Drosophila melanogaster: one gene and its partners. The protein of the gene in region 4 interacts with the protein of the main gene of each other region in a pairwise test. Each region holds a gene or a part of one and is shown on either strand. Other genes may lie near its edges. The genes, in order: CG3448, olf413, GstE10 and Rca1.

The links.
Region 1: the proteins of Rca1 (region 4) and CG3448 interact in a two-hybrid assay, tested with the Drosophila melanogaster proteins (one large-scale study listed by BioGRID).
Region 2: the proteins of Rca1 (region 4) and olf413 interact in a two-hybrid assay, tested with the Drosophila melanogaster proteins (one large-scale study listed by BioGRID).
Region 3: the proteins of Rca1 (region 4) and GstE10 interact in a two-hybrid assay, tested with the Drosophila melanogaster proteins (one large-scale study listed by BioGRID).

What each region holds. Positions count from the first base shown.
Region 1 is NT_037436.4:9,448,238-9,455,574, forward strand, and holds CG3448 (uncharacterized protein), read right to left. Parts: upstream 3,336-7,337; 5' UTR 3,295-3,335; coding exon 2,587-3,294; 3' UTR 2,308-2,586; downstream 1-2,307. Other genes in the region: CG3529 (uncharacterized protein), read left to right, coding at 151-602, 664-1,391, 1,452-1,587, 1,781-1,831, 1,995-2,192; ghi (ghiberti), read left to right, coding at 3,743-3,796, 3,888-3,933, 4,061-4,206; phol (pleiohomeotic like), read right to left, coding at 5,293-7,302.
Region 2 is NT_037436.4:22,132,069-22,140,949, forward strand, and holds the start of olf413 (olf413), read left to right. Parts: upstream 1-4,021; 5' UTR 4,022-4,741; intron 4,742-8,881.
Region 3 is NT_033778.4:18,393,991-18,402,142, forward strand, and holds GstE10 (glutathione S transferase E10), read right to left. Parts: upstream 4,403-8,152; intron 3,812-4,402; 5' UTR 3,629-3,811; intron 3,579-3,628; 5' UTR 3,476-3,578; coding exon 2,753-3,475; 3' UTR 2,648-2,752; downstream 1-2,647. Other genes in the region: Idgf5 (imaginal disc growth factor 5), read left to right, coding at 1-464, 531-1,174; GstE1 (glutathione S transferase E1), read left to right, coding at 4,442-5,116; GstE2 (glutathione S transferase E2), read left to right, coding at 5,534-6,199; GstE3 (glutathione S transferase E3), read left to right, coding at 6,767-7,429.
Region 4 is NT_033779.5:6,849,034-6,856,762, reverse strand, and holds Rca1 (regulator of cyclin A1), read right to left. Parts: upstream 4,449-7,729; 5' UTR 4,342-4,448; coding exon 3,106-4,341; 3' UTR 2,897-3,105; downstream 1-2,896. Other genes in the region: l(2)k09022 (lethal (2) k09022), read right to left, coding at 1-913, 974-1,236, 1,349-2,517.

The DNA of each region.
Region 1 (7,337 bases), on a different chromosome or scaffold from region 4:
GATACAAATTTAAAAAAAAAAAATAGGGATACCTTTTTTGTTTTTGTATTTATATTACATGAAATATTGTTGCAGTTTTTTTTTCTGGAAGAACGATAGATTTAAAAAGATCTTAAGGTGTCAACTAATACTTACCTTCTCACCTTTCAGAGGCCGCCACCGATGCCAACCTGGCCTCGGAGAACTGGGCCGCCAACATGGAGATCTGCGACATGATCAACGAATCCTCCGACACTGCACGCGATGCTATGCGTGCCATTCGCAAACGCCTCTCCCAGAACGCCGGCAAAAACAACCAGGTGGTGATGTACACGCTGACCGTCCTGGAGACATGCGTGAAGAACTGCGGCAAGGCCTTCCATGTCCTGGTGGCCCAGAAGGACTTCATCAACGAGCTGGTCAAGCTGATTGGGCCCAAGAACGATCCACCAGCCGCCATGCAGGAGAAGGTTCTCAGTCTGATACAAATCTGGGCGGATGCGTTTAAGAACCAACCGGATCTCAACGGCGTCACCCAGATGTACATGGAATTGAAAAACAAGGGCATCGAGTTTCCAGCCAACGATCTGGATGCCATGGCACCCATTTACACGCCACAGAGGGTGAGTCGCTGAGGAATCCTCTTTACTTTAACCATAATAAATGCTTTCATATGCCTTTTAGAGTGTTCCCGAGATGCCCCCTCAGCTGGTGGCCGCTCAGCAGCACACAATCTCGCCTCAACACATGGCTGCCGCTGCTGCCGCCGCAGCTGCAGCCGCAGCTCCACCCAGCACAGGTCCTTTGCATTTGACTCCCGAGCAAGCGGCTAAGCTGCGCTCCGAACTGGAGATCGTTAGCAACAATATGTCCATCCTCAGCGAGATGCTCAGTGTTCTGAAGCCCGGCCAGGAGTCGCCCGATGACTATGCCCTGCTCAATGAGCTCACCTCGACCTGCAAGGAGATGCAGTCTCGCATCGTGGATCTGATTGGACGTGTCCAGGACGACGAGCTCACCGCGGAGTTCCTGCGCATCAATGACGAGCTGAACAATGTGTTCTTGCGCCACCAGCGTTACGAGAAAAATCGTTCGCAGGGCCAGGGTGCTGGTGTTACCTCGCCCTCGGCTGTGCTGGGCGCAGCCATGGGCCTGCCCGGTGTGGGAGCAGCTGGAGCAGGAGCCACCACGGTGGCTACGCTACCACCTCCGCCCACAACTACCGCCGTGAGCAATACGCCGCAAAGTGACCAACTGCTGATCGATCTAATCGAAAGCAGCGAGGAAGCCCAACTGCCACAGAGTTTGGGACAGATCAGCCTGGGTGGTGGAGCACCCATTGGGGTGCAGAGGAGCGCACGACCTGCCGATGAATTCGATATGCTGGCACAGTCGCGCACCGATGGCAACCAGTCAGTAAAGAGTGCTTTCCAATCGAGCTCATCAAGTATTAACAATAATTCTTTTTTTAGTAAATCGGACTTGCTGCGGGACATTCCCTCGGTGGACGCTGCTGCTGGGAGTGTGACTGCCACCGCCTCGCCTTACAAACCAAATCAACCGCAGCAGGCACAGCGCTCAGCCGGCGAACCGCCGGTGGTAAGTAAAGTGAGTAACTAGCCGCCGGACAGCCGGTCTAACTAATGGCGTTCGATTTGTTCCCTTACCTTTTGACCTCGTTTTCGCCATTGATTTACACTATGTGTCTAAATTTGAAAATATGTTTTGGTTCTTTTTTGTTCTATGCAAATTGCGTTTGGTTTTCGTTTCGTTTTGTTGTTCGGTTGGCGCCCACACACAGTCGACGAAAGAGAATGAGATCGACGAGATGGAGGCGTGGTTGGGCAGCTCAGTAAGTAGCCATTCGAATAGCATTTTGTCTTTTTCTAAGCTCATCTTACCATGCACTCGGCTTCAGTTTCTCGATTTACATACTATTCCTTTGCTTCTTAGCTTCTGTCATCCATTTTCGAGTACTTAATATGACTAATGAGTCATTTGTTTCCACCACACAGCACATCGAGGGAATTGAGGAGCTGACCAGCTCGGAGTTTGACAAATTCCTAGAGGAGAGAGCCGCTGCCGCCGAGAATCTTCCAACGATCAGTGCATCGAACTCCGCCGCCAGTGCCACGACAGGATCGGCAGGAGCCGATAGCTTACGAAAGACACCAAAGAAACCGGGCGCCGAAGAGGATCTGCTCGCGCTCTGAGTGATCTCCGCCAGCACCATCATCGGCTCTAATTGTTTACTCTTTCAAATGTTATACACACCCTAACATACTTATCCGTAACGTCTATTTGATAGCAGATACATAGTAACACTTTATGTAAAATGCTTTTATTTTTTACAAAAACAGCAACGATAACTATTGATTATATTCCAAAAAAACAAGCGATCTTTTGTTGGTCTAATTGTAAGCCACGTCTACACATTGATGGTAATTTAATGTATTACGTTACAAGTCTATTTGTTGTTTATTTATACATACATTATAAAGCTAATTTATTTTACAAAATCGAAAAGAAAAACTAAAACAAAATGGAAATACATTTCAAGCACATACCGATTTCGTCTTTGTTTAAATATTTATATTACTAAGGGGCTTAATCTGAGTCGTTATCTATATTCATGACTTGAGTAGCTGCTCCGTAGGCATCGTCCTCGTCATCAGAAAAAATCCTTTGATTATTCTTTGCTCTTGATACTTTCCCGGATCGTTTTTCCAACTGACTCTCTAAATCCCGGATGTGGGCCTTTTTGCTGTTCAAAAGCAGCAGGAATTTCTTGAGAAGTTCCTCCTCCTTCAGCTTGCTGTCCCTCACATACTTTTCATATTCAGCCAGGGATGCGGTTGTCTGGGCGTCGGATTCGGTGGCTGGAGCTGCTTGTGGCTTCTGCTGACCAGCTTCGATGGCTGCATCCAGCATCTGGTAGCAGTTGGAGACTTTTCTAAGCGGAACATCCAAGTACAGCGTTTCGTATCCTTCGCATTTGTACACTTTGAACGCTGGTTTTTCGACATCTTCCATGGATATTTCATAATCAAATCCTTGGAGTCCCATGTGCGTAGTTACGGCACTTTTGCACTCCGCAAAGAAAGCATCGTAGGCCTGTTCCAATTCACTGGCTCCACTTCGAAACTCATCGTATTTTACAATTGACCGGTAGTTTTGATTGTCAGAAGTGGTCAGGATGTCAAACTCCACGTCGTCGTCCATCCATTTGCTTCGGACATAAATAAACGGCTTTACGTCTATTTGACTATGTGAGAGCTGAGAGCGTTGAAGTAATTTAACCACAAAGGTGGACATGTTCGGCAATATTTTAGTTTCACAACTAAATGTAAACAACTGTTGCGGGGTTTTTAAAACAGCTGTTTACAACTGAGTTGTCAGATTGATTAAATGTATGTAATTTTGATAGAGTGCTTATGGCGAACGTTTAAGTGTACGTATATGTACTCTTTTCAGTAAAATTAAATAAATAAATACATCTTCAAATATTTCCGAGAGCTCAAATATTTAAGTTCTAATTAACTTTAACAGTCGATATACAACCCTTCTATTAGCATTCTAATATTTTATTTTATTAAACACGCATTTTGCAGCACTAGGCGGTCCAAATTATCGATATGACAGCGATATCGATTAACCGTGTTTAAGTTAGTACACAGCCAGTAGGAGGAACTAAACAAATTAAACGCGCTGCACCCCTATTGTTTGTCCTCTTTTTAGTGTTTTACTCGATTCGGCACCCGCAATGCTTGACAACCTCGTGGAATTCGCCAGTTACTGGTGGTTTCGATACCTCATGGTATGTAATGGTCATAAAATTACGCACATATTCCACCTGAGAAGCTGCGCTCCACGGGATTTTGATTTAAATGAACCCCATTAACTTGCAGGTCACCGAGCTGTACATGGTTGAAAAGTGGGAGCGGATAACGATACGTGAGTGTTAATTGCTGTTAATAAAATAGCACACCCTCGAACTAGTTGGGAATATCCGACGGATTCGTCATGCTTCTGGAGAATTTATACGCTTATCAGGGTTATTATTGCTCTCGGTTCATTGCAGACGTCATTTTCATGGTACTCTTCTGCGTTTTCTGGTACTTCAACTACTCCGTGCTGCTCTCGCTGGCCGGATTGATTGGCCCAACAAGTGCCTCCATCGCGGATATTATTCCCGGAGTTCAAGGACATGGGCTCAAGGTCACCTAAAATACCGATCAGACCATGCCCAGACCAATCGTGTGTACTGTTCTCCGTTCCAATATCCAAAATAGCCGCGTATCTGTACCTCGCCGCGATGCTTTATCTAATCCGCACGCGTTTATACACCGCAATCAATGAATGGAACGTAGCTGTAGGCGACACATGTCCAAAGAGGCGATCTAATCGCTTGCTGATCCGAATCTGAAGTGGACAACACCCGGCGACTGTCCATCAATAGCTGCCTCACCGTTTAATGTAGTTATCTAGCAGTAGTTACAAGTTTAAAGTCAGTTAATAAATCTAACGCTTACACAATCGCACTGTGAAATAGTTAAAAAAAGAAATGATAAATGATATACGCAAGTGTTGTTGCATTGTTTTCCTGGTTTATTTTTGTTTAATTTTGAAGAGGTATTTCCCTTGTTTATTCCGACTTAACTGATGTGCTTCCATTTGTGAATTATTGTTAGCGCCAACAGACGTTGAACATGCTAAATCCGTACTTCAATGCTCTAAGTGTTATAATTCATTACAAAAATATATAGATAGCCTATGGTGTATGCGTATTGAATATGGTAAAACTAGTTTTGTGTATTTTTCTTATTTTTTTGTTTGTTTTGTTTTCGTAGAAAAGAAAGTGCGCGTTTTGTTATTCGAGCGAAGATCGCACACGATTAGTATCAGATCAAATTGGGGCTTTTTAAGGTGACAGTTTGGCTGAGTTCTTCGGGGATTACGGTTCAGTTTTGGTTTTGCGGGGGGACTCACTTAGCCTACGGTACAAGCTAAACTCTTAGAACTGCTCTTCATCCGTGAAGGAAATTAATTAATGGCTACCATCTAACTTCCTTTTGCACTGCAATCCTATTTTGTTAGAGAATGAACTTACACTACTTACTTAAAGGGCGGGCAGCGGGCGGATGTGTTCACCAGGTGACAATCTTGTCCGGCCGCTCCGCTCGTTACAGGTTACAGATACAGATAAAAACTGGCTACAACTAACTGTACAATAATGCCTTCCGGAGCCAAAGGAGCTTTAATATTTTAACCATCTCATGCCAATACCTGCCACACATTAAAGCGCACTACTAGTTAGGATGTTAGGGACGTGCCATCCAGCAGCACCGACGCCACCTCCTCGTTCTGTTCTACGTACACTAGACGAGGATCCTCGCCAAACTCCAGTCGCCCGTATCTGGCCACCAGCGGTGTCTTGTTGTTGCTCACTTGCGGTGCGCGCGGCCACTTCCTTTTGGGCTTCGTGTGCGTCAGCATGTGGGACTTGAGGTTCGTTGACTGGGCGAAGCACTTGGAGCAGCCATCAATGGGACAGTGGTAGGGCCTATCGCCAGTGTGTATCCGTACGTGGGTGCGCAGATTGAAGTCCAGCGAGAAGCGCTTGCCGCACCCCTCAAAGGTGCACTCAAAGGGCTTCTCGCCGGTGTGCACCAGCTGGTGGCGCTTTAGCTTGGAGCTCTCTACAAAGCTCTTGCCGCAGACGTTGCACACATGACCGCGCGGTCCGTGCGTGTGCATGTGCTTGCGCATGGCCGAGTGGTTGCGAAACTCCTTGTTGCAGCCGCGATGGGTGCAGCGAAACTTTGGCTCCTCATCCTCTTCGCCGGCCGCGCCAGCTGCTCCCATGGCATTACCAGCCGTCTGATTGGCCACTGCAGTCGGTAATTTGGTTACAATTGTGGGTCGTTGGGGTCGGGCTGGATTGCTGGAAGCCACTAGTGGCGGTGGGGGATTTGGTGTCGCCACCTGAGCCGCCGCCGTGAGTTGCCTCTTTGTCACCTTTGACTGATTTCCCGCACTTTTCAGTCGCACATTGGTGCTGCTGTTCTGGAGCACTAGTTTTGGGAGAGCCGGCTGTGGATTCGGTACACATCCGTTGACCTTCGATAGCGCTACCGACACAGTGGCTGGACCTGGTCCCGGTGTCTGTATCAGCTCCACATTATTCGGCATGTTCTCGATAAGCTCGATGTTACCATAAGCTTCTTCCAACTGGTTTTCCGCATAGATCAACTGTTCACTTAGCGGCTGGCTGTCCTCCTCGCCTTTGACATCGCCCATAAATGCATTAACCACCTCCTCCACATCCGTGACCGCAGAGGCGCTGAATGGATCGGGTAGGATGACGTACTCGTTGCCGATGCCATCGCTTAAAACATCGTGGTTGATCATGTGCTCGTCAATAATAAGCTTTGGCATGCTGGGTGATCCTTCATTCTGGGCGGCGGAGGAGGACGTCACGGATGTGGTGCCAGCACAACCAGGTGGTTCCTCCAACTCCTCCTCCTCGTCCTCATCCTCCGAGTTGAGCGAGGACCAAAGGGTGACATTGAACTCATCCTGCGTTATGCGTATGGGTACCTTTGTTTGCTTCCAGCGCTTGGCCGCTGAATTTCCCATGGGCCTCTCGACGCGACTGCTTCCAAATAGCTTAAAATCCTGCAGCTGGCCATTCGAACTGTTTGAATCCTCGGTCGCCTTCATATAGAAGTCGCTCTCGAGCTGCTCCTCCTTGATGTTTGTGGCCTCGATGGTGGTTAGCATCTCGGAGGCAATCTCGAAGGCATTTGTCGTAGCCGGCGCGGTAGCCTCATCATCCTCATCGCCATCGCCATCGCAGGAGGATGTCATCTGCTGTCCATCCTCCTCGATGAATTCCTCATCGTCGCTGGTCTGCTGCATGATGATCGGCGGCGGCAGTGCATCTGCCGTAGCCACCGTGACCGAGGTAAGTCTGTCCAGCCGATCCACCGGATAGTATTCATAGTGCTCAAAGAATTCGCCTGAGTCTACGACGATATTAGCCTCATCATCATAGTCGTCGATGATCTCCTCGATCAGGAAGCTCTCGCTTTCCTCGCCCATCGGATCGCCCGCCAAAACGGTGTACGGATCTTGCTCGACTATGGTAGCCGCCGTAGGCTGGTGTGCATGAGTGAAGTATGCCGACGACGGGGCGGAGTGCAGGGGCAACGGTACCGCCGCAGCGGCCAGCGATAGATTCTTCACGATGGGCGCTCGTATCTGATGCAGTTGAGGCTGGAAGTTCCCTCCGACGCCGACGTGATGATGATGACTTGTCATCGCGGCTGCTCCGTCTGCCTGTCTGTGTGCCTGTA
Region 2 (8,881 bases), on a different chromosome or scaffold from region 4:
ACATGTGTCGCCAACAATGCGACTTAAATTGAGAGCCACCGAGTAGTGGAGTTGCGAGAAAGAGACCAACTGAGGTCCTGCCAAGTCAATAAAAAATTGAGCCAGCCCCCGTTCCACCCCCTCCTCCGATCAACCGAAACTGAGCAGCGACAACAAAAGTGACCCAAATATTTTGCAAGGACAATGCACTGGAGCACAATGCAAACAAGGGGCGTGGGGGCAGGTTGGTGGTGGCGCGGAGATATGAAGCGAGTCCTGAACAGGACGAACAGAACGAACAGGGACCGCAAGCGGAAGGGCGGGACGGTGTCTCTGGTCAAGTAAATAAACAAAAGTAATTGCATAAATTTATATAAATTAATGGAAATGCATCATGGAATTTGGACTAACGCCAAATGAAATTTAAGTGCTAAAGTTCCCAACTTTCCGTTTCTCGAGAGAATAAATTCGGTACGATTGTGTTTAAGTGAATGTTTGCATGTCTGCATGTATGTCTCTATGGGCAGCTTTTAATTATAGTGATTTTAAATTGCCTCTCAGGTAATTATTGTATATAGCTGTAAATTTCTCAGTTGCATTCTAATCCACAGATTGGTGAGTCCTATGAGGTGCTGATAACAAAGTTGGGGACTCTCAGTCTTTAATAACTAATAAATCAAAATCAATAGATCAAAAAGAAATCAAAGAGTTTGTAGATCATATATCCACTATCCAAGTCCCCGGTCTGACTATCCACCAATGATGGCTGGGCAATCTGTTCCCAGTGGACGGTGCAACCAAGAAACCTTCCGATTGGCGCGCTCACTCACCTGCACAGGTAACAGGTAGATCGCGGCCCTGCCCTTGGAGGGAGAGCGAGAGAGCAGGCTACTGAGGGCGTGAATTGAGTGCATACTATGAATACACACAGATGCCCGATGACTGACCCTCGCGAGTGAGTTATAGGGAGGGATGATGCGCTGGGTTAATGACCCTGGTCTTTAGGGAACACTTAGGAGCAGTGATCTTTCAATCTAGTTAATATGTTGATACCAGGAGAAATTGAAGACAGTATTAAAGATCATCACCATCATCTTTTGATTCTGTGATTTTCGAGACATACGGGCAGTGCTGGGCTCGGCAATTAAGGAATTCAGTCGATGCTTCATTCCGTGATTCGTGAATATTTATTGAATCTATGGTTTGCTTGGCCAAATTGGGCTTTTTAATCATATTTATCCGTCTGTAAGATCGCTAAAATTTCGGAATTTAAAAGAGCTAGAATCAATGAACTATTTGATTAAGTGGGGTTTAAGTTTACAAAAAATCATTCACTGAAAGCACTGAAAGTTCTTCACTAAAGTCTATACATTTTTTTTGCCTTATTATCAACTAGTTAATATTTTTGTTTTGCCAAAACAACAGCAACATGTGTATATCTTGTCGAGGGCATTAACTTGTCTCCTTTCGCACCCTTTGACCAATGGACCATGGTCACGAGACTAATCCCGATACAGTGGTAAAAAAGGGGCTTTCAATCTACAATTTATCTGGGATCCCGGGGCCATCAACTGATTGATTGACAAGCCATTTACATTAACTTTGACGAGCGGGCGGTGGAAGCAATTAAAGCCAGCCATAAACTGTCAACGTTTTTCTACGAGTGTGTCAAAGGTCAGCGGACAACGAGAAGAACAAAAACAACAGTCAGTGGCAGGAGGGCAAAAACAACAATGCTGTCAGCTAATTAAAAATGCACATAAAATGTAAAACAAACAGCGAGGAAACTAATGACTGCAAAATCAATACATGAAAAAGTGCGGATAAGGTGAGACAAAAAATAAATACAAATAAATAACTGAAAATAATTAATAATTTAAGAGCTCAAGCGCTCGCTGTCGGAAAAAATGGAGTATGAAAAAGCTGACGTAAATAAATTAAGGCGAAATGAATTCAAAATTCAGCGCGTAAATAAATAATAAATATCATTACGCTTAGTTAATAAAAAACCCAATTAAGGCCTCGAAAGATGCGCCAAAAGAGAAGTCCGTTTTAAATCACATTTTTCGGGCAGCAAGAACGAAATCGGAAGAGCGAGCTTCCGACGATCCCATGAATGAATGAATGTCATGAAGTCAACTAGGAAAAAGCACATAACACTCATTTATTAATGTACCATTTCAGCAGCCACCCACTGGAGTCTTCCACCACCCACCTCCCACAACGAGAGAGTCGAATGGCGAGAGAGAGCGGGAAATTCGACAGAAAATGAGTTGCGAATGGGGCATGCAATGGTGTGGGTGTATAAACAAAGCAGAGCCTGCTCGAACTTTAAAATTTATTGCTTTGTTCATAGGAATTTTGAGTAGTTTTCAATCAAGCCCAAAAAAAAACATGAGGAAATGTATGTATAGAAAAATTCTCACAAACGGTTCCTCTTAGCGTTTCTCGCTTGACCATCATTGACCATAAATTCATTTAAAGTACATTTTTTCAGAGTGTAATTTTTAGTTTTTTTTACACGTAAACGTTTTGAACTCTGTAATAAATTCTTTCGCATGCCATGCGCATTTGGTTGAATTTTGCTCTCAGTAATAGTGACATTGAAATCTTGTCTGTCAACAGAGCATTTTCCTGAATGTTAATGACTGGAAGCTGTCGAAAGAGAAGAGATGCTATGCTCTCTTTCGCTGTTAGCCCCACTGTTACTGTTAGCCGGCTGAATTGAAACTGGTTTTCGCTAACAGAGTTGATAGGATTGTGCGGTTGACAGTTGAATTCACGCAGTTTTAGGGCTTCGCTCAGCCTAATCCGTTGCTAAGGTATGGAGTTACTCACCCAAACTAAATGATTGCCCACAGGTGCAGTGCATTACATATTGTTAACAACCCGTTTTTGAGGGGTCAACTCCAAAGGAATTGCGTCAATGCATTAAATCCTATACACAAAAATGTTCTAAAACACGAGTTTTTAAAAATTCTACAAATTCACGTATTCAATCATTAGATAAATATATTTTTACTTATAAAATATCAAAAATGGAGGCTATTGATAACGATTTCTGTGAGCAGACGCTTTTCAATCATTTAACAGTTTGCCTTTACAGTGCCTTTGTTTACATGTTAACCTAGGACAAGAAACACGTCGCACCACTCCAGTGACAACAGCGGCCGTTACAGTCATTATTTTAAATGTTAATGGACCGTTCAATGCGCGCTAACTTTCTGTTAACACACGAGCCCTTAGTTTATGGGCCTGTTAAACGGTTGAATGTGAGTGCCGACTATTAACATGATTGTTTGCTTGCGGAATAAGTTCCCGTTGGGCGATAACTAATTTTACGTGTTGCGAATGGGATTTCAGCACAGAATAAACCTCTTTTATACCTTGTCTTTCAGACACTTTATAATCCCGGAAAGTATTCTCTGATTAGGATTGCTCCAAACCTGAGTAGTAACATTCAAATCCATTTGTATTTCTCACATGCATATTTTTTAATTTGATTATGATTAAACGTCCCTTGTCGAATTCTACGGGTGGTCGGGTTGTTTTGTTTGATTGGAAAATAGGCCGCGTTACAGCTACGAAAGTTGGATTTCTCACGAATCCACGGACCCATCATCGATAACTTCATTAGCCATAAAGTTTTTAGTTTTTCCATTTCCTGAATGACTTTCATATGTGGCATGCTAAGCAGCAGACGAAAAGTATAATTAATAAAGCTCATCGCTGGCCACTCCCCCTTCCGGTGGCTGAAAACAAGTGCCTTTGTGTAATGTTCATTTGCATGGCGCGCGGCACAAAAATGTTGTGTACATTGCGGTAATTAGGCTACGTGCATGGCATTTGAACCCTTTCAATTGCCGTCTGGCATTTCAATTGCGCTTAACAGATGCACCTGCCGCTGTTGGGAAAGCCCTGTTAGCAACTGGAGTTATGTAAACGCTAACAGAAACGCTCTCTTTCTGCGCAGAGAGCGGCTCTCTCTTTGCTATTGACTCTCCGCCGAGGTGACGTATTTTATTTTACAGTCGAACGCGAACCAGTTACTTCCGAAGTTTCCCAGCGAGCGGTACACGGGCGGGCGATTTGTCCGAGAAGTGAAACAAGTCAGCATTTTTAGCACGTCACGACGAGGCAAGCAAAATCTTAAAAGAAAACACGAAAAGGCGAGACAGAACTGTGCGTGAAACATTGTGCATCGTTGCGAGTGCTTCTATTCAAAGCACCCAGCGAAAATATGTAAATAAAACGTTGTAAGCTACAGAATAAGCCCGGTTTCACAGTGCGCCCCATTCATATGCAAATCGGAATCGGTGCCGCAAACTAAGCAGCACATAATTTGCGAATTAAATCAAAACACACATCGCTCCGTCTCGCTCTTTTGAGCCGGCATCCTGGCAGCAACAACAATTGCAGGACATTAAACGGACGCCTGGCTGAACGTTACGCGACGCGAACCGTTAACCGTTACGCTTCCGCTTTACGGCTTACGTAGCTCGCGCACGGGCCTGTGTGTGTGTGATTTGCGGATTTAACAATTGGCAACGGGGCGGATGAGAAACGCGATGCCGCCCACGTAATGTGTGCCGAAATTTAAATTGCACTCTATGTATACGACTGTGTGTCGGCGTGAGTGTGTGTGTGTGTGTGTGGATAACGATTACCATAAACGTAAACAAAGGGATTAGACGTTACGTTGCCGGGATTACGCCAGCAGTAGCGACAGACTTTTTCCGATAGCTGCAGCTTCCATTCTCAGGTGAGTTTCGTAAATGATGTATTACCTGAGAGGCATGCGATGTGGGGTGAGGGCGGGGCGGGGATCCTGTGGCGGCACTTGTGGTTGCTGTGTGTGGCATGTTAAGTGCAATCCATTATACAGATATGTGCCTTGCACATGCAGGTTTGCTCTCCTCTAGCCTCCAGCCTCTCGCCTTCTTTGTTGCCCTGTCCCTTTCTCCGTTCTGTTCTATCCTGTTTTTGATTCTGTTTCTGGGCTTGCCTTGTGTGTGTTTTCGGTTACCACAAAACTTAGCCTGCGCAAGTGTGTGTGATCTCCGCACGGAGTGAAGTGGGGAGTGGCGGGGGAGCCCCTTAATGCATCCATCAACTTCATTGGAATGCCATTCAATCAGCATTCCCTTTTTTCCTTAGAGTTTTTGCCGTTTTGCATTCTGCAGTTGCGCCACAAAAGAAAATGGGAAAAGTGACACACTTAGAGCGGGAAAACTGCTGCAGGTGCACAACTCATAGGGCGCATCATTTCGGTCGTTCTTCTATAACTTTAAAGTATTTCGCAAAAACATTAAGGGATCTATGGAGAAAGATTGTGGTTGAATGATGCAATTTAAATAAACAAAATATTTTAACGTTTTTCTTATCTGACAAAAATGCATAGGAAATAAAAACAGTTCATAGAAAACATTTTCAAAGGTTTTAAGTGGTGATTTTGTTGTGATCAATTGGATCAGCTGAGTTAGTAAACTCGTGTGTTAATAATGGACATACAAAAGTATGGTTCAATTACGCTCTTAAATTTTCCAACCACTAGCCTATGTATAATTTAAAAGCCCAAGTTTTGGATGGCGACCCGTTTGTTCGAGTTTCAGAATAGAAGTTTCACTATGCTAGTTCGACTGTCGAGAAATGTTCAACTTATGGAATATGGAAATTATAAAGATAAAGTTTTTGTTGTGCTCGGCTGGCAGCAGGAACCAAATTGAACATATTCGTTAGCCCAGTTCCGTTGGCAAGACGGGTTGGAGCGCCACAAGTTTTGATTCGGGGAAAGTTTCCGAGACAAGAATATGATAGCTTAATTGGAATTGCCGAATGCAGGCGAGCGCCGAATGCAACCAGAGAGCAAAGAGCGAGAAAAGGAACGGAGAGAGGGTAATTAAAAGTTTTGTCGGGATACTGTGGCCAATGTCGAAGGTCCCCGACGGCACAGAATTGAATACAATAGTGTACGTGTATACTGTACGTATGTAGACCATTTATCGAAGGGCTTTCCGGCTTAGCCAATAGTTTCCCTTTCAATAACCATCCGTTGCCTAGGCGGCCACCCCTATGCGATCCCAATCTGATCTGGAATCGAAATGCCACAATTGATTGATTCGATGCCTAATGAACAGCAATAAAAATTCATTTGGGCTACTTACGACCGCCACTTCAGGGTTCAGCGCCACCCTCCTCCACGACCAGCTCGGGCCACTTTCAATTGGACTTTTTTAATTACCAGCCAAACATTAAGAATTTTATTCTCGCTATATTGAAATATCGTATGCCGGGTATTCCCCGGCGCTTGTCATAAATATTTTAGCAGGTTCCCGAGCTCCAAACAGAGCAACACAAATATTTTAACCATAAAAATTGGCAGCCCGGCGGGAACCGGCAAAAAATCCTTTTTCATTGCGCTCCATGTATGTATCTATGCGTGTGTGTGTAATGTGTGTGCACAGGACGAGCGAGGTGTATGAAAAGATACAACAGTGGCAGTAAAGAAAAACGCATTTTCCAAAATATTTACACAGCAAAAAGGAACAACGGCAGAGCCGGTGGAGAAAACTAGAAAAAGACCAGAAGAGGCGCTCAAATAAAACCCAAATAAAATATGAAACAGGGGACGTTCGGCGGGCGGTAGGAGCTATTTTATTTTTCGGCTACAGTTTTTGTCGCCCGGCGATGTCCTCTGTGGGGGTGACTATGGTGTATCTGTATCTGGGCGAGCTGCAGTAAATAAATATACGCGTATCTCTGATGGGGATTTATGGCAATGAGAGCCTCGGTCCCGGCGCAGCTCCTCTTGCTCCGCCGCTGGCCTAGGACTTAAATAAATGATAGATTGAAATTTATATAGCCTATGGGCCACGTTGCGCTACCCGCTCGTTTCCCAGTTCATATTGCACATTTTAGACACTGCTCGATGGGTTTTGATTTGCTCTCGGGTGGCATACTAAAATCGGCGGCACATAAATTGACTAGGTAACTAAATCTATGATGTATCTATTTTCGCACCCGAAATTTCAATGCAATTTCCATGCTGGTTAACATTTGCCACTGCGGGTCGGCTGAAAAGTGCTCGAATCGCGGCGGGGTAAGTGAAAAATGTACCATGCTATTTCAGGGATTTATTTGCCGGAATTCGGTTGCCAGTCAAGAGGAATTTGGCCCAGAGATATTGTAATTCTTATGAAAATATTTCAATTCCTGTTTCCCATGTTTGTAAACAGTTGCATTGATATGAAAATCACTTTCAAATCCCATTTAAATGGCTGGGTTGAGCACCTGAGTTGAGCATCTATGCCTCGATGATAGAATGCTTTGTTTGCCTTGCATTTTCATTGATACATATTTACACAATTTCCAACAATGTTTCATAATTAATTTTTGTGCTTTGCTTTTCTATGCCCAACCCGACCGCACATTCAAAATGCAATAACAAAAGTATAACAGGGAAGCGGCAATATGTTTGTTTTTCCAATATTAAAACTTTGCCAAAGGGGGGCTGCAAAAATGCGATGCAATTTATATGAGCCAATTGGCCAAAGCAGCAAAACTGCAGCAATTGCAACAACTGCCACTTCAATGGGATATTTCGGCTGTGGAATTGCAATTTAAATCTGTATGTTCGTTCAGGTAAAATTAATATTAATTTTAATGAAAAGCAGTTTTAAACTGTATCCCGGCCGAGTACAAAAAGGATTGTTAATATGTAATACCCAGAGGAAATCCAAGGCCAGAGATGCGATCAAATCACAACCGAACTGAGGGCAACGAGAATTTGAATTGTGAATGGCAAGGCCCAGAGCTAAAATAACTTTATTTGCAAAAATGGGAATACAAATGGGAATTGAAGTTTGAAGAAAAGGATGCGAGCAGATAAAATGGACTGGCGCCGAAGTATGCAACAGTTGAAAAGCTTCCTGGAAATTAAATTTTAGCCAGCAATTCACTCAGCCATTTATTACTTTTTAAGTGCGATTTAAAGTCAGTCTGTCTCCCAAGTGCCTTAGACTGTGGCTTATTTTCTGGCTTCTGCGAGCTTTTCCAATTTCCCTGCAATTTTCCAGAGGTAACCACAAGCACAAACGTCTCCCCCCTTTAAAATAAATTCTCCCTAAATGGTTTCTCTGCTCATTTTCCTCTCAAAGCTGCACATGAGCTCTGCCTGCTGACTGTAAAATTAATTTCATATGGCAAATGGATAAGAAAAATGTTTTGCCACACAATCTATGAGAATTTTAGCCCAGCATAGCAAAGCAAGCGATGGGGAAGCGGGAAATGCCAAAAATGCTAAATAAGATGGCTCACATATCTAAAACCCCAAAGAAGCTTCAATAAATAAATACGTGTGTGTGCCCTCCTAGTCGGACGCCCCTCATCTCGATTCTTGGGAAGTCTGGTTTAATTTTGGGAAAGCGCACTCAAATGTTAATTTCATTTCCCGTTCGCCTTTTGTCTGCATTTCTCTGGGCCTCCGACTCAGTCGCAGTGGCGTCCTTAGCCGCTTCTGTCTCACTCTCATATGTATGTATAAAAAAAGATGATATTCGTATTTAATTTCAATTTCAAAGGATTTTCCATGTATTTATTCAAGGACTTTATCTTAGGCATAAATTACGGGCCAACGAACGAACGAGCGAGCGAACGGGTGCGGGCTCTCCACTTGGCTTTCCGTCTGCCTCTGGCTTTCACCTACTTTCTAGCCGAGCCCGAAAGGTAGCCACCCCACCAAGCCCCACCCCACACACGCACACTCTATCGTCCTGGCTCTGCAGAAGCCGGGATCCCCTCTGGATCCCAGTACAAACATTGTCTGGCTCTGAGCTGAGGCTGGAGCTGGAGATGGAGATGAAGCTGGAGCTAAAGCGGCTCCTGCCGCCTGTGTTTGCCAAAC
Region 3 (8,152 bases), on a different chromosome or scaffold from region 4:
GATCAAGAGTTTGGATCCTTCGTTGACCAATGATCGTCAGCATTATCGACACATTACCGCTCTGCGCAAAAAATATCCGCATGTTCGCTTCCTGCTTTCGGTGGGCGGCGATCGGGATGTGAACAGCGAGGGCGTGGCAGATAGTGACAAGTATCTAAGATTACTGGAACAGTCGGAGCATCGGAAAAGCTTTCAGGCAAGCGTTTTGGCGGAACTGAACAACAACGGCTTCGATGGCATCGATCTCGCCTGGCAGTTTCCCAAAAATAGGCCCAAACTGCAGCAGGGCGTGTTTAAGAGGGTATGGGGATCGTTACGTGGCTGGTTTAGTTCCTCATCGGTGGACGAGAAGTCCGAGGAGCATCGTGAGCAGTTTGCCACACTTCTCGAAGAGCTGCAATCCGATTTGCGACGCGGTGGCCAACTGCTAACCGTCAGTATGTTGCCACATGTTTCAGCGGAACGTGAGTATAATCATTGAAACCATTGAGAATCTCGCCAATATTAACCATTACTTTTACTATCCCTAGTCTTTATTGATGTTCCAAAGGTTCTAAGTAACGTGGACTTCGTCAACCTGGGCACCTATGACTTCCAAACGCCGGAACGCGATCCCAAAGTTGCAGATCTGCCCACGCCATTGTATGCCATGTACGATCGGGATCCCAGTCACAATGTGCAGTACCAGGTGCAGTATTGGATGAACCAGACATCCGAAATCAGTGTCCACAAACTGCACGTGGGAGTGACCAGTTATGGTCGAGCTTGGAATATGACCCGAAACTCCGGCATCACCGGCTATCCACCAATTCCGGCGGCAAATGGAGCTGCACCGCCGGGAAGGCAAACTGTTACGCCAGGATTGCTTAGCTGGCCGGAGATTTGTGATTTGCTGCAGCAGCAACCACAGGATCGCGAGGTTCCCCATCTGCGCAAAGTGGGCGATCCCACCAAGCGTTTTGGCATCTATGCGTACCGGGCAGCGGATGATCAAGGGGAGAATGGCCTATGGGTGGGCTACGAGGATCCCTTGACGGCGGCCATTAAGGCCGGATTTGTGCATGCCCAAGGATTGGGCGGAGTGGCCTTCCACGACCTGTCCATGGATGATTTTCGTGGTCAGTGTGCTGGCGAAAAATTTCCCATTCTGCGAAGCATCAAGTTTAAGCTATAAAAAGAATAGCTATTTGCTTTGAATTTAAAATTTACTAGCTTTCACAATTATCCTTCTACTTTTTTAGTGTATTTTTGTGAAATATGCATGGATTGCAATAAATTTCATTTAAAATAGTAAACGAGCTTTCAAATGGCTTCCGAGTATTATATTTTCTTTAGAAATATAAGAATCAGCTTGTTCATTTAATGAAAACTAGGATAAATTGAGATGCGAGAACGGTGAGCAAAATAAAAAAAAAAAAATAAAAAGCAGGAAATAAACCGGCCAAGTGGAATCCTGTAGAAGCGAAAAAGAAAAAGTAAAAGCGTCCTGAAGTGGCAGGCGGAGCGTAAAGCAAAGCAAACTTCTCAAATGCCACTGACACGATGGGTGGAATTTTCGGGGAGCCATGCTGGCAAGGATGTGGGGGTTGGTTGGTGGACGGGGCGAGATGGGGTGAGTTTGGGGTAAGTAGGGGTGGCATGCTGACTGGTTGGGCCAAAGTAAAAGTTGAAATTAAACCAATTAGTTTGCCTGCCACCACTTTCTCGTCGCCGTTGCAATGAGGCGCATAAAACGCGGCGACACAAGGTAAGTTCCTGAGATGCCCACAAAGTAGTCACGAGTTTCTAAAAACGTTAAAGCTTATGATTTTTTTTCTTTTCTTTGGGGCTTAAATAGGAAGGGAATGCTTTAAAAAAATTTGTGTTTTAAGGCCAACAAAGGTTTATAAGTAGGGAAGAAATTGAAAATAAGTAAGAAACAAATGGAAAATTCATGTACTTTTTATAGATTTCCATACATCTGCAAAATAAAAACAAAAAGTTTTGGAATTTTTGCTTCATAAGAAATATCTTCGGATTGCGTGACTCCAATTTCCGCTCACGTTAGCATCTCCTGCAGGACTTCCGTGGGGCTTGGAAACGGACTTCACCCAGCAGGTATTTAGACTTGGCTCCTTTTTTAAGAGTATTTTAAACGACGGCGCGTCCTTTTTGTGGACTTGGAGCAAGCGAAGGGCGGGGAGTTCGAGACCCGAGCGCAGATAAGAGGCAAATTTGGAAGTGGCATAAAACGGGGGCGAGTTGGGTTTGCTGCGGAGCTGGGCTGGCTAGCTGCTTGGGCGGATGGCGCCGTCATAAATTAATTATGATTTAACAACTTTAGCATGCACGACACGGCAGGAAAACTTTGCGCTTTTCATTTACCCCGCCCTCTTCTATTTTGTGTCGCTTTTGTGGAGGGTAAAATTTTATAATTTTAATGAGCGCAAAAAAGTTGTAAACTTTTGGCTGCGTTGCCATTGGAAATGCACTCCACGCTAGATAGTAATTTATATACAACATAAAAAAAATGTTCGCCATCAAGGACATTTACCGGCCAAGAGCACTTAGATGGCTACAAAGTCTTCAGTTAACTCAGAACAGTATATAGTGAGCCTATACACTGGGAAAAAAAGAAGATTATTCAAACATAATATACATTTTAAATCATTTTGCCAGCAGCGTAAGTTTTAATACATCATATTAAATACCATTTAACATACAATTTTACTTTGGGCAATGCTCTCTTTTCGATGCGACAATGGCTTCCGCATCACTGTTTTCCAGCTCCGCTCTTGATGTCCTCAAAGGCCTTTTGCCACAGCTTGTCAAACTGCTTGGGCAGCTTGGAGCGAATCTTATCGGCCAACAAGCGGGCTCCTCTCAAGTTGTCCTCCTCATAGAAGGGCAATGCGGAGATACGTGCCAACCAGGCGGATAATTTGGGGTATTTGGTCGCATCCACGGGACAGTAGCTCAGGTGCAGAGTGCTCACGGTGGCCACAATGCTAAAATCGGCGATGGTCAGCTGAGGACCGGCCACATAGGGATTCTCCGCCAGAAATTGCTCCAGCAAGGCGTAGGCATCCTTCAACTCAGCCAAACGATCCTTGGGCACCTCAGTGGCATTCTCTTTGAACAGAGCTCTCTGCAATTGCTTGAAGATGCCGTGAAAAAGGACACCGGTCTCGAAATGCAGCCGCTGATCCACCACAGCTCGCTTCAGCGGATCCTTTGGATAGAGCTCATCCGACTGGGCGTACTTGTTCACCAGATAGCCGATGATGGCGTGTGAGTCCCAAATGCATGACTCACCATCCTCCAGCATGGGTACCGTGTGCTGGGGATTCTTGCGTAACATATCCGGCTTCAGATGATCGCCGGCCTGCATGTCCAGCGTATGGAATTCATGGTCCAGCTGGAGGGCACGAAGGGTCAACAAAACGGCACGGACCGGCGGACTGGACTCAGTGCCATATAGAATCAGGTTAGCCATTGTGGTTGCTTAACTAATTGCCTTCTAGCTGGTTGAATTGAGATTCGTAGCAGACAGTGTGCCATCCACAACTGACTCAAGGCAGTCTAAATAATTTAAATTTCTTTCAAACGCGATAAGATTAGATATTAAACTTAGTTTCTTGATAATTACCACAAAGACGTCATAATGCTGCAAGTTTAAGTTTGCCTGATTGTTTATTAATGTCCGGGATAAGTCGGTCTGCTATCTATTAGCTGTGTCAATATTTGATCAATGTCCCCGTGATTTATTTGATCATAGTTGGAGCACCAAAGGGGCTACTTATATACACTGCTAGAAACGTCCAAACGAAACCTAAAGTAACCAGACTCATTAGCAGTGTTTCTATGCAAACATTTTCATATAAATATAATTATAAAATTATGAGTTTAATATTATTACTTCTGTGTATCAGATCATACAATTTTATCCAAAATAACGATAAGCTTTATGCCAGCTTAACTTAAGCTTTAAGCTTTTAGAAACTTTCAAGCTTCGTTAGGAAGACTTGAATTGTAAATTTACATGGGTTCTACATGATTCAAATAGATGTATATTACAATAAATCATAAAACAAGTAACTGTATTAAATTAATTTCTTCTGACAACCAATGTTCCTGAGTTCACAGAGACCTACTTTGTTTTTGATGAGTATATGTTTTTTGTAGTTCACCACTGCATATGGTGTTTTAAAATTAGTATCATATAGATGATTCCAGAACTATCAGTTGGGGGTAATTAATGTTTGTTATGATGAAATAGGCATACATATTATATATATGGTTTTTTTTTAACTGTTTAACACATGGTTTCGAGCTTTTATCTTAGATTTACGAAATGCTCTCTCATTTAGCAAAAAGCTTGAGGCAATAAGGTGTGTATATATGTACAGTAAATAGAGAGATCAGTCGAAAGAAAAACACTGACGGGTAAACAACACGTATCATGTCGAGCTCTGGAATTGTACTCTATGGGACAGATCTCAGTCCCTGTGTGAGGACCGTCAAACTTACCCTAAAGGTCCTGAATCTGGACTACGAGTACAAGGAGGTGAATCTTCAGGCGGGCGAGCACCTGAGCGAGGAATATGTGAAGAAGAATCCCCAACACACGGTACCGATGCTCGATGATAATGGCACTTTCATCTGGGACTCCCATGCCATTGCCGCCTACTTGGTGGACAAGTATGCCAAGTCGGATGAGCTGTATCCCAAGGATCTGGCCAAGCGTGCGATCGTCAATCAGCGTCTCTTCTTCGATGCCAGTGTAATCTATGCCAGTATAGCCAATGTCAGCCGCCCGTTTTGGATAAACGGTGTTACCGAAGTGCCCCAGGAAAAACTGGACGCCGTACACCAGGGTCTGAAGCTGCTGGAGACGTTCCTGGGCAACAGCCCCTACCTGGCCGGCGATTCGCTAACCCTAGCCGATCTGTCCACCGGACCCACTGTAAGCGCCGTGCCCGCTGCCGTGGACATAGATCCTGCTACATATCCCAAGGTCACCGCCTGGTTGGATCGCCTCAATAAGCTGCCCTACTACAAGGAGATCAACGAAGCTCCGGCCCAGAGCTACGTCGCCTTCCTGCGCAGCAAGTGGACCAAGCTGGGCGACAAGTGAAACTAAACTTATATTTAAATATGACATTTCACAAGTTTGAATTCCATCAATTAACAACATACACATCCATTTCTAAAACGTAAACTTCTTCAATAAAATATAACATATATATAAAATATTTAATTTATTTTTTTATTTAATTTATATTTATTTAAATATTTGAATTTATAATAAATACTGAAATTTATAAACTTTAATATGGGACTTGAGTCAGTAATTATTATCTCACAGTTGGGGAACCCGACCGTAATATTTTTATCGCTCATTTATGATATCGTCAGTGTACAATTACAAAAGTTTATTTAAGATACAAATGGGGCAAGCTCAGCGCACCCAATTGGGTTGTTTAGTTAAGCTCGTTTAGATTTCTGTGTGTGGCAAATTTAGTGGAACTTGGGTCTCTCTGGTGATCGCATCATGTCGGATAAATTGGTTTTGTATGGCATGGATATTAGTCCTCCTGTTCGCGCTTGCAAGCTGACCTTGCGGGCCTTAAACTTGGACTACGAATACAAGGAAATGGATCTACTGGCAGGAGATCACTTTAAGGATGCGTTCCTCAAAAAGAACCCGCAGCACACCGTACCACTCCTCGAAGATAATGGTGCCCTTATCTGGGATTCACATGCTATTGTCTGCTACCTGGTGGACAAGTATGCCAATTCGGATGAGCTATATCCCAGGGATCTGGTGTTGCGCGCCCAGGTGGATCAGCGTTTGTTCTTTGATGCCAGCATTCTGTTTATGTCGCTGCGAAATGTCAGTATACCCTATTTTCTTCGCCAAGTAAGCCTGGTACCCAAGGAGAAGGTGGACAACATTAAAGATGCATATGGCCATTTGGAGAACTTTCTAGGGGATAATCCCTATTTGACCGGGTCGCAACTGACCATAGCTGATTTATGCTGCGGAGCTACTGCATCCTCGCTGGCCGCTGTTCTTGATCTGGATGAGTTAAAGTATCCAAAGGTGGCTGCTTGGTTCGAACGACTCTCTAAGTTGCCCCACTATGAGGAAGACAATCTGCGGGGCTTGAAGAAGTATATCAATTTATTGAAACCCGTATTAAATCTGGAGCAATAGTAATTTGTATTAAAAAAAAAATACCATCAAATGCCATAAATACCATAAAAACAAATCAAATCGAATAGTACTACAACTGATTTGTAACAAAAACCTATCATTTTTAGAATCATAATAAAACTATCATTACGTACTGAATCCTAAAGAGAGAAATAATAAAAGAGAAATATATAGATGGAAAAACTTAAATGATCAGTTTTTTGCTTATAGATAGTTAATTTCCAAAAATTGCTGTTTCACTGTTTAATATAATCAACTGGCTTATCGGTTAAATTATGACAATGGTCTTTAAATCCCAAAACGATGAGTAAACAAATAGAAATGTTTAATATGTGACCAAAAGCGCTCTGTATTGTAAAGCTTTAAAACGTGAAGTGTATATATATTACGTATACGACAGCTAAGAGATATGTGGGTTCCAAGCATTGAGTATGACATACTGCAGAGTCATCACAGATGTGCAAAGCTCTCTTAAGTGAAGAGCACCACCTGGTGGCTATATAAAGCCCCAAGTTTCGACGTTTAGTAAGCAGTTACTAGTCAATCGCCTTACAGCACACTACAGACATGGGAAAACTTACGCTTTACGGAATCGACGGTAGTCCTCCGGTCCGTTCGGTGCTGCTCACGCTGAGAGCCTTGAATTTGGACTTCGACTACAAGATCGTCAATCTGATGGAGAAGGAGCACCTGAAGCCAGAGTTCCTCAAGATCAATCCCCTGCACACCGTGCCCGCTCTGGATGATAATGGTTTCTATTTGGCCGACAGCCATGCTATTAACTCCTACCTGGTGAGCAAGTACGGCCGGAATGATTCTCTATACCCCAAGGATCTGAAGAAGCGAGCCATTGTCGATCAGCGTCTGCACTACGACTCCAGCGTGGTGACCTCGACAGGAAGGGCTATCACCTTTCCGCTCTTCTGGGAGAACAAGACGGAGATTCCACAGGCGAGGATCGATGCCCTGGAGGGTGTCTACAAGTCCCTCAATCTGTTTCTGGAGAATGGCAATTATCTGGCCGGCGACAACCTGACCATTGCCGATTTCCACGTCATCGCCGGCTTGACAGGATTTTTCGTGTTCCTGCCTGTAGATGCCACTAAGTATCCCGAGCTGGCTGCCTGGATCAAGCGCATCAAGGAGCTGCCATACTACGAGGAAGCGAATGGCTCTCGTGCTGCCCAAATCATCGAGTTCATCAAGAGCAAAAAGTTCACTATTGTTTAAGGCATTTTAGTATAGACAAAAATAAATAAGAACAACAATTATCATAACGACTTGACTTTTGTACGACAATTTTGCTTAATATCAGTCCAAACTTGTTTTGAGTGAATCGATAAGAGAAACTACTGGTTTATTTTGTGTTTGCTGCATAAGATGTGAAGGCAGATATGATATATGGATCACCATATGTAGTTTGCACACGATTGATGGATTTTAAATGAAATTTTTATGAAAAATGTTTGGCGCTTATATATTTAGAGAAATATGTAAAACTAAATTATTATTAAAACTACTAAGAGGTCAACAGTATGCATGTGAATCAATAAGTTTAGTACTTTGATTTAGCTAGCGGTAATTGCTGGGTTATAACCAATATCTGATAACTAAGCATTGTTTGTTAGAATGTAAAAAGAGCAGGCGGTAAGAGCTTTTGAACCAAAATCGTATATAAAGCTCTCTTACGTCAAAAATCTCTGATAACTAAAAGAGCACGGAAATATTGGCTGATGTCATCTAATTTGGTTTACTGGCCGAGTCATTACAGCACAGCGAAACTCTCTTAATTTAAGAGAGCTTCCCAGTTGAGGGGGAGGCAAGACAGAGATACCCAAGGCTAGATTTGATGCACTGGATGAGGTCTACAAGACACTTGAACTGCTCCTGGAAAGCAATGACTTTCTGGCTGGAAAGTTCCCAACACCATCACTGATTTCCACGTCATCGCAG
Region 4 (7,729 bases):
TCGGTCATCTGATTCCAAGGAGTGGATGCTAGAGCTGTCCATTTGGTGTTCTTAACCAAAGTCAATAGGAAATCCACATACAATTGTAGAGGTGCACAATTCTGTGTGTTTTGACTACCATTGACGACACGGAACTGGAGGCGCCGACTATAAAGCCCAATTTTCTCCAGCATGTGAAGGCTTTCCCGAGGCTGTAGTTCCCTCTTGGCGTAGGCAGTTAGCAGGAGTAACAGGTGCGTCAGCTGGGAGGCTTTCTGAATGTACAACTCACCGCCATGATCTTCTACGCTTTGGAGCAACGCACGTTCCTGACTACTCAGTTCCTGATTGCTGCTCGCTATGATGTCCAGGAAGTGCTGACGGTGCTCACCGACATTAAAGTCGCTGAATTTGTTGCTCACTTTAAGTTCTGCCAAGAACGGAACTTTACTGACAAAATCACTGCCAAGTAGAATCCGCAGAGCCTTGTGCTGATGTTCAGCTAATGCTTCGCCAGGGAAGAGAAGCGGCATCAGCGCTAATAGCACCAAATTTGTGTCATAGCTTCCGCTCACCAAGGCAGAGGTCAAGTGACGAACAGCGAGGGGAACCACAGGTTGCCATTCCTCATCCTTTTCGGACTGAGCACGATACAGCAGATGACATAGGGTTTGAGCCAGAGGCAACGGACCCAACATCTCGGCGAGCTCTTCGGTAGGCAATGATAGCAAGGTTGAGACCACAGCACCGCTATCATCATTTATCCTATCGGGCAGACATTCCTGCAGAAGCTTAACGCTTCTCTCCCGCTTTTTAGTCACATTCAAATTCTGGAGTAGTTTCTGAACAGCACTAAGTCGCCAGTCAGCGCTGTAGTGGTATAGTTTTTCGTAGGCGTGCTTCGCTTTTTCATCAGTAGTGTTGAGACGGAAGCCTTCAATCGAATAAAACATTATATACAATAAATATATAAATATTATTATTTTTTACTTACCCAAAGCCAACTTTAAGGCCTTCTGGCGATTGCTTGTGGAGGATTTCGATCTCAAGGCCTCTTTAACGCTCAGATCAAAAGCTTCTGGATAGCGTCTCTCCAGCTTCTCGAGGTAAGTGGAATACCAGGCTTGAAAGGTGGTCTTTTCCGTCTCGATCTCATCATCCGAATCAATTACAATGGTATCGTCATCTTCGTTTGAGTTAGTTTCCATGGGCTCTGGTGCATCGATCGCAGTCTCTACATAAGTATCCAAAAAGCAACTGAAATGGTTAAAGTATATATGTTATTTAAATCGGAACAGCTGAATCGTTTTAAATTCAAGTGTATAAACTCTTATTTTTATTATTTTCGATCGATACTTCTAGTACTCACTTGATCAGTTGCTGAGCAGTCGGCTTTGGCATTGGCACCTCTGACAGCAGGTTGTCCAAGAACAGTTTGCATGAGTTAGAAGAGGCGTCATCGTCCCGAATGGCGGCCACGGCTCCGGTCATGAGTGGCATGCAGATAGACTGGATGGCGATGTTGCCTTTGGCCAGGGAGGACAGAGTGGAGATAAGCCACTTCTTCCCAACCAGATTGAGTATGGTTTCCGGCTTAAAGTGCGGCAATGCGGCTTGCTGTTTGCCATAGATGCAGACAAGCAGGAGCAGCGACTCACTGTGAAGCCTCTCAAACGGGCAGTTGGCCACGCGTTCCAGCAGGGCATTGCACACCTTGCTCTTGAGCTTGGTGCGGGAAACAAGCTGAGCAACGATCACATAGGCGGCCGCCATAAAGTCGATATTATCGGAAATCAGGCCACGAAGCAGCGACTCCAGAATAGTGGTGATGTGCCAGTCCTGCAGTGGTTTGGCCGTTTGCAGGGCGCCAACTACGACGGTGGCATAGAAGTTGATCTGGGCTTGCAGTTGGTGGGCTCGAGGACCCAGTTCCTTAACCGCCTTCTGGGTACTTTGGCAGATGAAGCCGAGGAAGGCGGGATTGCTGGCGGCTCTGTTAATAATAGCAGTCTTGGCTAGCGGAACGCCAGGACGCTGCAACGGGCGCAGCCAGTACCAGTCGCCATCCGATGACCGGAGCCTCATGGTCTTAACGATCTGGACAAAGATCATTGTCTCGTGATAGGGCAGAATCAGGGCCATAACTTCGCTACGGTTATACTCGTGAACCTGGAATCGTCGCAGCAACCATTCGAAGGCCATGTGTGCGGGGCGGAGCAGAAGGTACGGCGAAAGAAGGCGCAGAAACTTTGCAATGGCCGCGTCCAGCATCTTGTTAATCTCCGGCAGCTCCACGGAACGCTCCAGCGTCAATGTGGCCTCATCGAACAACGTTAGCTGGAACTCCTTGAAGGCCGGATTAAAGTCGGTCAGCTCCTGCAGTCCCGTTAACCCGATCTCATAAATGGACCGCCGATCCTTGGTGGCCGCCTCCTTGGGATCGAAGAGTATGGAGGCGCGACTTCGTGCATCTGCCAAAGTTACCGACGACTGCGGCGCAGCCAGTTTCTGCAGCTGCTGTGCCAACGCAGTACTCATTTTGGATGATCGTTTTTTCCTTTTTTCTCAAGTTAATTAAAGGTAAAAACGGAGAACAATAAATGTGCGGCAACCGCACTCCACACGTGTTTTGTTGGTGTGGCCAAAGATCTCTTGGCAGTACACAAAGTAGCTTACGGTAAATAGCGCGCATTGGCGTTAGCCAAGACCCAAACCAGTATACTACAGCTGATTTTAAACATTTTCTGTTTGAATTTATTTTATGCAATGCAATCAATAATAATAAAATATTTTTAAGACTTGCCTAACATATTAAGGCTGCCTTTGAAGCCTGTTATAATGATGTATAATAACAAAGCCTTACATGTTAATAAACAGGAATCACTTTCCCCCAGTTATAATTATAACAATTATAGTTCTAAAAATGATTTATATATTTTGCATGTGTAAAAAATACTTAATCTCGCAGAGGTACAGAATTCCGACAAACCTTACATGGAACGATTTAAAAACATATATATGAATGTACGTGATGAAATGGAACTTAATGCGATGGACATAATACGAAATTAATGAGATTTAAAAAAATCGAATACTAATCGTAATAGTTAAAAGCCTATGATAAAGCTAAAAGCAGAGCCGCTTGAGCGAGTTCTTCCTTGTGATTTTCGGATCACGGTTCTGGGCACGTTGTGGCGGCGTCAGTCGCTCCCGTGGCATCATCAGTTTGGATGGTGTGTCCAGTTCGGTGACCAGGCAACGCTCGCCGGGATGCGACTTGCACAGACAGTTGACGCAGAACCGAAACTGGCAGATGACACTGGTGCATTCGGCGAAGTTATATGGCGGTCCTTGCGGTGAAGTCCTGACCTCGTCAAGATCCAGGGACAGGAAGCGTTTGAGAGGCGGACCCGTCATGCAGGGGAATGTGCTGGTTGTACGTCCAATAGGCAGAGTTTGCGACAATAGGTTTTCGCCACACTTGGCCGCCTCGCTTATGAAAACCCGGCTGCCTCGACCGCATCGCGGACACTTGACGCGCTGCGTCTGCTCGCGCAGCACCCTTCCGGCATCCACGTCCATCAGGTGGATGCTCGAGTTGCCCGAGTCCATTAGCGAGGCGGCGCTGTTGGCCAGGCTGCTATGGTTCGAGGTCTGCAATGGCACTGTGTGGTTTGCCTTGGGCACATGGCTGCACCGCTTGGGCACGTGAGGATTCTCTTTGGTTAGATTCAATTTGAGTCGGTGGTTCTGTAGGCGCTCCAAGTCGCGTTGGCTGCGATAAACAGCCTGCTTCCAGGCCGGCGATACCTTGGTCATCACGTCCAGCGTGTGGGCGCCCACATGACGCAGTATGCACTGCAGTGCCGGTTGCCATTGCGCCAGCTTGGCCACGATATCCAGCTTTTCGACACCGCCGTAGAAGCGATTCTTGGGCGGTTCTTCTATGTGGGGAAAGAGCAGCTTTTTGGACTTCTTGGGGCTACTGTGTGGCGATTGAAAGTGTTTCTTGCGTCGCTTGGGCAGACTATGCTCATCCTGCAGACGCGGAGTCATAGAGAAAGGCTCCTCCTCCGCGGAAAATTTCTTTTGGGGCTGTGTTCTGGGATAGGGCTTGCCCCAGTAAAGGTCCTGCTCCTGGTGGCCACTGGGCGTGTTCAGCCCCCGAAAGAATGTTGTGGTATTCGATGCATTGCGACAGTTTTCGCCCTCAGCGTCCTCCAATAAAAATGGCGTCTCCGCGGTGGAATTGTGCAGCGCCAGGAAGGATGTGTAGCCAGACTCGTTCATCTCCAACTCGAAGGATGACCCTCGGCTTGGGCTCTTCTTCCGCAACGCCGCGCGCCGATAATAGGCGCTCATCTTGACCGAATTTTAAACTTTCGAATTGTTATGCTTTTCGCATCGGTTGATTGTTTTTGGGTACGGATCAGTGTGACCGCCCCAATAAAATACTAACTGGCTACTAAATAGATACCAGTTCATTGTCGGGTCAACTCAGAATGCTACGTATCGCGTTGCCAACCATTTGATATATATTATCGTGACTGTTAGGCAAACCATTTAAACTTGTGCATTAAAAGATGCCACTTGATCGGATTATTGGAATCTGACAGTTAATCGTAGACTCCTATTAACATAAGCAACTTCAGCCATTTATAAACATGTCTAAAAGAGTTCAAGCTGTACAAGATTTGAGGTTCTGGAATAAGATAGCGTTTTTTCATTCTATGCAGTGTGTACATACTTCCATATTAGCGAGTACACATTCCAAAGCTAGCGAAGACGCACTTGCGACTAATGCTCTCGAAAAAAGAAGTAAAATAAAGAATAAGAGTGATAAATAATATGTATAATCAGTTCATTAAGTTAAAAACACCAAGAATTTGACTTTCAATAAATTATATTTCCATGCCTTACGCCATAAGTATAAAATAAATACCTATATACTCAGCTTATTGCTTTAATACCAATTCGAAAATAGAAAACTTTCACTTATTAAATATGGAAATAAGTAATAGTTTGAAAACATTCACTTTATAAAAACGGGATTCCGTTTAACATCTTATATATTATTATTATATTATTATATTATATTATATTATTATATTATATTATATATATTAAAAGTGTATTTCATCGTCTTAGCTTTGAAGACATTGGTAAAATTATGTTGATAAGCTTATAAAAATACTCTCGATTAGCTGACATATGGTGCTATTTAAATTTCTACGCCTATAACAAAAAGATTTTAATCGAACATAAGTATATCTATATCTATTAAAATTGAAATCATTACAAATTATTTTATGAGATATGTCTTCTGTTCCCTGTTTGGCCCAATCAAAATTCGGCAGTCAGGATAATCTGGCCTTGGCCATCATCAGTGTCATCAAATTAACGAAAATCCCTCAATAATTTATCATTTGTTCTCCCTGACTCGTCCTTAGATTTTTTCCGTTCCGCTTCCCTCATCTTCTTCTTTGCCGCGTCCTTTGTGCCCACTGACAAATTTGCCAGCTCAAGTTTTTTGTGCAAATCATGACGGGGCATAGATTTGGGATTCATGTGAAAGTCTTCCTTCGCCGCTAGGTGGATAGTTTCGTCAGCTGTCCATAGAGTCAGCTAAATGAAGCCCCATGACCCACCACCACTGGCCAACCCATGCTCGTGCCCATTCCCATTCCAAGGACCATTTGCAACCGCCCGACGACTTCATCCACTTGCTGGGAAAGATGAGAGGTCGAGAATCTGTTGTGGTTGCCGGGGGAAAATCAATGAATGATATTTCCTTTATGAGGCTCAATTATTTGCTGCGGGGATTTGCTATTCTACCCCGGATTCTGTCATCTGGTTCGTGCCTCATTGTCCTTCTAAATGCTTTGGCAAAATATTTTGGGTATTTGCGCTGCCTTTTGTCGGCCAGCAGCTTCTGCGTTAATAATTTATGAATACTTGCTCGTTTATTGTTTTGCATTATTTATGGTTTTATTATTTGTCTATTTGCTGCCACCAAAAGGGGCGTGTCGGCGGGCAAAGATTTTGTTTTGATTTTAATTAAATCGACGGACAGACGCACATCGGCTTAATTTAAAGTCATTTGACTGTTCTAATCTCTTTTCCACTGACCGGTTTGCCCATCTTTTTTTTTTTTCGGGCGTGGATATGGCAGCATATTAATTGTCGTCGTGGCTTTGGGATTAATCTGTGGTTCATTTGGTTCGGTCCTGGGAAGTCGTGGTCACCCTGTTTGCTTTGAGATCAGAGGGATGTTAACTAATGACTTTGTCAATGGGAGCCGAATGAGTCGAACTAGGGATATGTGCTAGGCATTGATTTATCTTAGGTGTATATAGAAGATAACTGCAATGATATTTAAAGTATTATATAAAATATTACAAGATTTGCTAGAAATAATATGTTGTTGGTTGAATAATGAAGTAGTGCTCTTGCACTCATAAATATTGTTTTCAAAAATAAGTCTCAACTCATTTCCTTGACTTTACTTTAAGGACTTACATTACTTCCTGTACAAATCGCGACTTTACCATACCATGAATCTATTTGCCTTGTCCTGCTTCGAGAATGCTAACTAACCTTCACCCCAAAAACTACTGTCAACAGAACACAATTCCTTATGGCTGAGGGAAAATCCTTGAGGCAAGGCAAATCCATGTCCAAAAGGTCGCGACATATGTAGCGCATATATGCATACATATGTTTTGATGTGGAGCTATGTTTGCACGGATATTGATATGCGGCTGATTAATTTGAGTTTACGCACCAGAACGACCCGGAATGATGACAAATGGGGGAAAGGAAGGGCAGCTCCTGTCAATATTTGCACTCAATCCGTACATATGCTCTAATTATTATCCTTTTGGCAGTGGGCAGTGCCCTGTTTTGGCATTATGTCGCTGCACGCACACCCATTCCACTCCATTGGTGCTTTAACCCATGACAGCCCGATCAAACATGGGTCGGTCGCTCGAATCAACTAATTATGGTAATTTACCGCGGAATGTCAACAAATATTTTGTAACCGGTTATTTTATCGCACGGCCGCGACTCACGTAAGTCCTTCGACCAAGGAAGGAAGTCACCCATCCACACTGGACACACTGCAACTGGAACTGAAGGTGGAGGATGGAGGATGGGGTGGAGTTGGAGATGGAGCTGGCCAGGATGGCATTGTGAGTTGTCGTGGCTTGGAGCTGGACGGGGCAGTCGGAGCATTTGACAAACGATGTTTACCGCGGTGGGAGGCCATCCTGGGTGTCCTTGCGGCCACGCGAAGTGGTCGGATTATTTTTAACCAAACGAACGGACAAACTCAAATGGCTGTGCAAGCAAAGTAACCCGAACTGGAACTCAAACTGGAACGGAACCCAATTCGCTTGATTGTGTTTGATTTCGGCGGTGGGTTTATAAGTATATGAGTACTCATTCTTGCTACCCTTTCGTAGGTTGTTAACTTGTTAAAATTGAGTTGTTAATGGATGTATGTTCCCTAGTTTTAAAAAGTTTGAAGAATATCTTAATGTCACTTTTACTTCTTATGTTTAGAAAGATTTAATGTTGCTGCTTTCTAGGGTATCTCAACGTTTGCACTTTCTCTACAAGTGACCAACTATTTGCTCTGTTTTATGATGGCCCACTGCGTGGTAATTCATTTTTAGTCAATAAATCGCTTGGTTACCCGTGCTTTTTTGTCCTTTTACCTGGGAGTGGCGAAAGGAAAACAAAAATT